2 linked regions of the Cricetulus griseus genome follow. The protein of the gene in region 1 interacts with the protein of each later gene in a biochemical or structural test. Links are inferred from orthologs where the notes say so. Each region holds a gene or a part of one and is shown on either strand. Other genes may lie near its edges.

Region 1 (4,124 bases):
TTCAGCTGATAGCCTATATAAAGGACATGGAAGAAGGAAGTTTGTTCTCTTTCTTGCTTGCTCTCACTCTTACTGGCAAGGGCATTCCTTCGCCGGCAGTAAAGCCTACTTCAACAGGATCATGGTGTATACTGAACACCAGCTGAGACATCCAGCTTTATGAACTGAACAAGTAATTGCTAGATTCTTGGACCTCCCATGGGTAGCCATTGTTGGACTAGCTGGACCACAGCCTGTAAACCACTAGAATAAGAATGAATGTATAGGGGGCAGGAGAAATGACTCAGCGGTTAAGGGCACTGACTGCTCTTCCACAGGACCCTTGTTCAATTCCCAGCACCCACATGGCAGCTCACAAGGGTCTGTAACTCCAAGATCTGACACCCTCACACAGATATACATGCAGGTAAAACACCAATACACACAAAATAAATAATTTTTTAAAAAATGAAATATAATAATGAATATCAGTTCTAACAGTTTTGTTCCTCTAGAGAACCCTGAATAATACAAGTATCTTTCAGAAATAGCTCTGGATCAACCGGATATCCACATACAAATTATAAATTTGAACCAGGTATGCCTGGTATGTGTAATCTCAGCTACTCAGTAGGCTGAGACAAGAAGTTCGATGCAAGTTCAAGGCCATGAGGAACTACATAGTGAATTGCAAACCTACCTAGGCTGCAGAATTTCTTGTCTCAAAAATAATGAGTAGCCAGTCGGTGGTGGCACATGCCGTTAATCCCAGCACTCGGAGCCCAGCCTGGTCTACAGAGCGAGTTCCAGGACAGCCAAGACTATACAGAGAAACCCTGTCTCGTAGAGCCTGATAATATATTCGTATAAAGCCAGCACTTGGGAAATAGAAGCAGGAAGATCAAGAGTTCAAAGTCAAGCTCAGCTACATAGTGAGATCAAGGCCAGCCCAGGCTATGAGACCTTTTCTCTGAAAAAAAATGAAAGAAAAAGATAAATTTTGAGGCCAGCCTATGAAATTTCAAAAAATTCTATTTGATAATAAAAATAAGGTAGCTAGGGATGGAACAACAGATGTAGCTCACTCTACCATGCATAAGGCCTAAGTCTGATTCTTTGCACGAGGATCAACCAGGAGGAGAAATAACAGTGAGTACATGGCAGGTAATGGCAGCCCAGGCACTCCACCACAGCCTCCACTTTTTTTTTTTTTTTTAACTTTTTTCTCACCTCTAACCAGTTATAGGGGCCCTGAGATTTCTGTTGCAACAATCTAACCACCACCCCTGTTTCCCTGAACAATACATTATACTATATAACAAAATGCCTTACCCAGATTGGAGAATCCTTCCTGAAGAGACCATAACCTAGCCCAAGGGGCAGGACCAGGCTCCTCAGGTTCTGGGTCCTCAGGAATAGAGCAGAGCTCCTGGGTGGACACTGTCTCTAAAGAGCTCAGTGTCCCAGAGCTGGAATGAGAGGACTGGCTGGAGGATGACACTGTGCCGCTAGAGGAACTGGATGTGCCTTGAGACTGTGAGGAGAGGTCGTGTAACTGAGAGGAAGTGCCTTGTGACTGAGTGAAGCCACCCTGGGACTGTGAACAGGAACCACTGCTGTGGGACTGCTGATTCTTCATATCCGACCTCAAAAACAGAGTCCAACAATGAGGGGAGATTCAAGGAGCGAGGCCTAAAATTCAAGAACGAGGAATGGAAGCTGGAGAGATGATGCAGCAGCAAAGAACAGAACTATTCTTGTAGAACCCAAAAGTTCAGTAAGTTCCCAGCACCCAAGTCTGGAAGCTCAAGATTGCCTGTGACTCCAACTCCAGTGGGTTTGAAGTCCTCTCGTGGCCCCTGAAATCACTTGCGCTCACGTGAGCATACTCCTGCACACGTAACATATAATTAAAAATAAATCTTTACCCAAAGCTAAGTGAAGAATGTGAATATAACTCAATAGTAGACGCAAAGTCCTGGATTCCATGCCGAGTACCACCAAACATACGAAGCGGAGAACGGGTATACTTAGGGACTGGAGAGACATCGCGGCGGTTAAGAAGAGCACGTTGCTTTTTTGAGTTCAGTTCCCAGCACCCACATCCAGGAGCATACAAATGCCAGTAGTTCCAGCTCTTTGGGAATGCACTGCCCTCTGCTGGCCTCCCTGCGCACTGTACAGACTTACACAGACACATGATTTTTAAAAATAAATTTTTTATAAAAGGAACAGGCATATTATGATCACCTCAGAAGGGCAGAATCATTGATGAGTTTTTTTAAAAAAAGTGACCACAGCAAAATTTCAGGATCACGAACAGAATTTATCGGCCAATTACACAGCGCTAGCGTGTAGAGAAGCTGAGAATGGCTGGTTGCTTCCTATCCACTCCTTGCCACCCTACCCCACACACTTCCTTACGTACTCACTCCAGTTCCTGCAGAGCCTAGCAGCGATGTTTGTGGTTCTCAGTAAATATTTGGGAAGAATGAATCGGGGACCTGGCATGATCACTAACATTTATAATACTCGCTATGAAACTACTTCGCTCTCTGGCATTGAAGAGCCCAACTCTGTGCCTTCCCATGTCTCAGCTTGTAAATAACAAGAGAATGTCCCCCTCGAAGAGCAGCTAAAAAACAAGGAAGAGTCGCCTGCGTGCAGAGCTCTCTTGCACACACAGACCAGGCGGAAGCTGCGAAGGGCCCCTTTGCAGAAGACCCTGAGACCCGATTCGAATCCTCAGACAGGCAAGAAAAATTTCCCGCTAAAACTCACCGCGAAAGAACACCTGGAGCCACAAACACCCCAGACCGCCGCAACCAGTGGTGTGGCGCTAAACCTACCCATGCAAACTCCACCCTCAGCCAATCAAAACGCCTTTCTGCTCGGCACGACCAATAAGAAGACCCGAATGTGGCTGCCATGCGTTAGCCTCAAGGCTTGCTGGGAGTTGTAGTTTAGGATGCAGAACGGGACTCGGCATCCTGTTTTACCGAGGCTGATCCCGCCTCCTCGGCTCACTAAACCAATCAGCAACGAGTCACTCTTGCTTCCTTTCCCTCGAGTCCCTCGACCCAGGCCAGACGGGCGGCTGTCCGGATGTGGGGCTGCCGGGCCCGTGCTTTGGTTTGCGTGTGGGAGGTGCGACTAGCTGGGTTCCTGGGAAGGAGACTGCTGAGCAGCAACGCTGCCTCGGGCAAGAGCAATGCGGGCCAGTGCTGGAACTGCGGCAGCGCTGGGGGTGTGGAGAGTGGGGATGGGTTCTTCTGCGAACACTGCCGCGCCTTGCAGCCACCTGACCCGACTCGGGACTACTTCAGCCTCATGAATTGGTACGCGCGGCGCAGAGTTATGGGAGGGCGAGTCGGTCTTGGGGAGCTCGGATGGCCGAGTTAGTTAAATTAGGCAGGCGTTACCCTGGTGCTTACGACTTGGGTCCTCGCCGGCGGGCCTGTAATTTCCAGCCAGCTGGAAGACTGAGGCAGGAGGACCACGGTTCAAGGCCAGTTTAAGCAACTTACCGAGACTCATTCAAAACGAACAAAGCAAAAAAAAAAAAAAAAAAAGTATATAGGTCATTTGTATAATATAGGACCTGCTGAGATTTTAGGAGTTTGCCTGAGAGGAAGAGGAAATCAAGTTACAGACTGGAAAGAAGGTAAGGGTGGAGGCGGGGATGAAAGCGTAAACTTGCAGATGCCTGCAATGTAAGCACTTGGGAAGTGGAAGTGGGAGGTTAAGGAATTCAGGACTAGCCTCTGCTACAAAGGCTTTGTTTTTAAACATCAGCAACAACAAAAGGGAACAGGCTCAAGTTTACAGTATAGGGAGGTTTGAGGGGCGGGCTCCTGGAAAAGGGGATTCCAGAGGCTGAACTCCAGGGAGGAAAAAGGAGCAGAGTTTGTTTTTCAACTTGTAGTTCTGACTCTACCTCCCCAGTGCTAGGATTAAAAGCATCTGGACTAAAGTAGGAGGATCCCCAGTAGGTGCCCAACCACAAAAATAGGGAACATTCTCATCTCAAATAAGTAAATATTTTAAAGGAGACAATAAAAATAAAACAAGTCGTCTGTGTTGATGTATGCCTGTGAGCTCAGAGGGTGAGGCAGGATTACAGATTTGAGGGCAACCCGAGCTAT
Region 2 (3,646 bases), about 130 Mb from region 1:
CCAACATTTGGGAGGCTGAAGAAGGCTGTGAATTATCTGGAGTTACCTCTTGGCAGGTTAGAAAGTTTCATTAGAAAAGTTGATTTATTTGTCAAAGGATGTGTTAAGAGACAGAATTTAACTGTAGATTCCCCAGTTCATGATAACAGTTTGAGATTATATCTGAAATAGAATATATTTGATGGATGCTTGGGGATCAGAATGCCATGATTTTCTATGATTGCTTGATCATTAAAGGCACAGATGCTGAGGTGCAGACTTTTTTTTCAGATTTTTCTTTTATTTGTATTAGAAACAAGATTGTTTTACATGTCAATCCCAGTTCCCTCTCCCTCCCCCCTCCCTCCATCCCCCCAGGTGCAGACTTTTTAATTTATTTATCCCTGCAGGCCAGACTAGGGTACCAGATCTCATTAAGGGTGGTTGCTGGGATTTGAACCCAGGTCCTCTGGAATAGCAGCCAGAGTTTTTAACCTCTGAGCCATCTTTCCAGCCAAGGATGCAGACTTTTAAAAAGCCAGTGAAAATTTTATTGATTTAGCTTTTGTTTGGGTTGGGATTCTTATTTGCTTTTTTTTTTTTTTTTTTTGAGACAGGATCTCTTAAAATCCCAGGCTAGCTTCAAATTTGCTATGCAGTTGAAAACTGCTCCTGTCTCTGGGATTACAGGTGTTTGCCACCACAGCCAACTTATTTTCCAGGTTTGGGTGTCAAATAGGTGAGGTAAATGATCTTGGTAACCTTAAGCATAAGTTTCCTTTTATTAAACAAAAATCAAAGGATTCTTTGGGTATGTTGGTACACATAGTCCCAGCTCCTCCGGCGGCTAAAACAGGGTGGAGTCTAGGAATATTTAATCTCAAAGAAAAAAAAGGATTGACTAAAATAGTATGTGCTGTGACTTAAATGAGATTATAGTTGTAAAGATTTTGTCTTAGTGTCTGAGACATTATAATCTCTCAATTTAAAATTGGGCAGCTGTGTTTTATTTAAATCATTTTTACTTTTAATTATGGAGTGAGTAGGCTGTTTATGAGTACAGATGGCTGAGGAGGCCAGAGGTTTAGGATCACAGAAAACAGAGCTGTCTAAGGTGGATACTTGGAATCAAATCAGACTTTGAGCTTCTGCAAGAGCCATGCTTGCTGTTAACCTCCAAACCATCTCTGTAGCCCCAGCTGTCATTTAATCCAGTGTGCACTTGTGATCTCAACATTTGAGGGGGTGGAAGAAAGGTTCACAAGTGTTGGCTCACCCTGTCTCCAAAAGTAAGAAAGGACTGGGAAAGGCTTTAGAACAAGTTCTCTTTGTTTCCATCTGTCTGAATGGGATTTACATAGGTATTGTTCAACTTTCTTTGGTATACTATTTTATGGTAGAGACTGGTATTTCCAACAGATTGTGCACTGCCACAGCTTGCAGTTAGACTGCAAGAAGAGCTCAGAGGCAGTGGTGGTGCCAACTTTAACCCCAGAGGCAGGCTCATCTCTGAATTTGAGGCCTGGTTTACAGAATGAGTTCCATCCAGGACTGCCTAGGCAGCAAAAGAAACCCCGTCTTAAAAGGGAAAAACAAAGTAAGAGCTCAGGAGCTAGAGAATCCAATGTCTTCTTCTGATCTCTGAGGATGCCAGGTTCCCACATGGTGTACAAGCTTATCTCTTTTTTTGAGCAATCCAGCTAAGCAAATCAAAATGGACTAGAGTTCTTGCTAATTTTGTCTTTCAGCTATCTTCAAATGAAAGTGATAACAATGAATCAGGACATTTCAGTCCTCTTTTTACATCCCAGTCCCCTGTGAAAGCCACTTTGTCTGATGAGGATGATGGCTTCATAGACCTTCTCGATGGAGAGAATCTGAAGGTATCATCTGTGGGTGTGAGGGTGTGCCTACTCATTCTAGCTACCACTGGAGAAGGCTCCTAAGTAAAAACAGCTCCTGGAGTCTCAGCTGGCTGATTGATTTGTGAGATTATTGGGACTCTTCCCTGCTTGACTAAATCCTATTGCAGGGGGAGTAGTGGCGGAATGTGTGCTTAGGGTGCGCAAGGCCTCAGGTTCAATCTCTTGTACCAAAAAAGGAGGTGCTAGCCTTCCCTGGTGGTAATGCCTGTAATCTCAACATTTAGGATGCTGAACAGGATTGCCATAGCCACAAATTAGGCCAGCCTGTGCTACAAGTAAGGCTCCTCCCCAAAAACAAAACAAAACAAAAAAATGTATTCAGGCTTGTCTGGCACTCTTTAGGAGAGTTAAATGCAAAGCATTTATTAATCTCAACTGGGTCCTTTTCTTCTTCCCAGCCCCTCCACTGGATCTATTTAAAAACAGTTTTTTCTCTTGCTCTAGAATGATGAGGAGACCCCTTCGTGCATGGCGAGCCTCTGGACAGCTCCCCTTGTCATGAGAAGACCTACAAACCTTGTAAGTTACTCCAGTATGTGGAGTTTTCAGTAGTTGGCCGCTGAACAAAGTAGTCCATAACTATGTTGACTGGAATAATCTAGGACTTGTCATTCAAGTGATCAGATTGTAATCGAGGTGGCTCTGTCTCTTACCCTAAGGGCAATCGATGCAGGCTGCTTGACTCCTCTTCCCCGTGCAGCTCCAGCAGCAGCTCCAGCACTCGGGCAATGTTGAAGAGAACAGAGCGCTCTCGTGACGAGTCCCCTCGAGGAAATACAAAGCGGAGGAAGAGCATGGCCAGTCCTGTAAAGGCAGATAATCTAGAGCCAACCCAAGAGGTTAGTTTTGCAAGTTCTCCTTTGGTCTACAAAAACAAAGTGTTCTTAATTGTTGAACCATCTCAGCAGTCCTATTATGAGATGTTTTTGGTTTGGTTTGGGGTTGCCTGTTGCTGAGGATTGAACCTATTCAAGAACTTGGTCAACAAGCTCCTTGTCCACTCCTATTTTCCTCTTTGGTTTTGTTATTTGAGGGTAGGGGCACATAAACAGTGCACATGTGGATGTCAGAGTAGGACTTGGAGACCTTTCTCTTTTTACCATGTGGCTCCCAGGCTTAGAACTCAGCAGCAAAGAGACCTTAAGTTGTTGCACCTTCTCACTGGCTCCTGTTTATTTTTAAGCTACATTCATTGTAGCTACTTTTGGGGGCGGGTTTATTGTTTTGAGACTGTCTCACTATGTAGCCCTGGCAGTCCTAGAACTCACTGTATAGATCAGATTAGCCTCATACTCAGTGATCTGTCTGCTTCTGCCTCCAGAGTGCTACATATTCTGCTTGTTTCACCATCTTTTTGCTTTTTACCATTCTAATACTGGGACAGTTGGCAAATGTTATTTCACCCGACTGTGTTCTGATGGTTGTTTTTATCTTTTAGGAGCAGGTTCTCTTGTGGCCTGGGCTGCCTGGTGCTATGTGGTTTATGGTGGCCTCGGAACTTTTGATTCCTCTGTCTTGATGTCCCTAGTGCTGGAATCACAGCCATGCCTGAGTTTTTGTTTGGGTTTGGATTTTTTGTTTGTTTGTTTGTTTGTTTGTTTGTTTCGAAACATGGTTTCTCTGAGTAGCTTTGGAGCCTATCCTGGCACTGACTCTGGAGACCAGGCTGGCCTCGAACTCAGAGATCCACTTGTCTCTGCCTCCCAAGTGCTGGGATTAAAGGCGAGAGCCACCAACGCCCG

Evidence for each region. The genes of interacting proteins can lie anywhere in the genome.
Region 2: of the proteins of Chek2 (region 1) and Cdc25a, one has a biochemical effect on the other in vitro, tested with the Homo sapiens proteins (5 studies listed by BioGRID, with this or other methods). The link is inferred for Cricetulus griseus from reciprocal best matches to the Homo sapiens genes CHEK2 and CDC25A.

What each region holds. Positions count from the first base shown.
Region 1 is NC_048597.1:90,621,435-90,625,558, reverse strand, and holds the start of Chek2 (serine/threonine-protein kinase Chk2), read right to left. Parts: upstream 2,841-4,124; 5' UTR 2,761-2,840; intron 1,672-2,760; 5' UTR 1,619-1,671; coding exon 1,312-1,618; intron 950-1,311; exon of another isoform or gene 680-949; intron 1-679. Other genes in the region: iron-sulfur cluster co-chaperone protein HscB, read left to right, coding at 3,085-3,317. UniProt on the Homo sapiens protein: Serine/threonine-protein kinase which is required for checkpoint-mediated cell cycle arrest, activation of DNA repair and apoptosis in response to the presence of DNA double-strand breaks.
Region 2 is NC_048597.1:217,357,611-217,361,256, forward strand, and holds part of Cdc25a (M-phase inducer phosphatase 1), read left to right. Parts: intron 1-1,727; coding exon 1,728-1,862; intron 1,863-2,348; coding exon 2,349-2,423; intron 2,424-2,563; coding exon 2,564-2,743; intron 2,744-3,646. UniProt on the Homo sapiens protein: Tyrosine protein phosphatase which functions as a dosage-dependent inducer of mitotic progression. Directly dephosphorylates CDK1 and stimulates its kinase activity. Also dephosphorylates CDK2 in complex with cyclin-E, in vitro.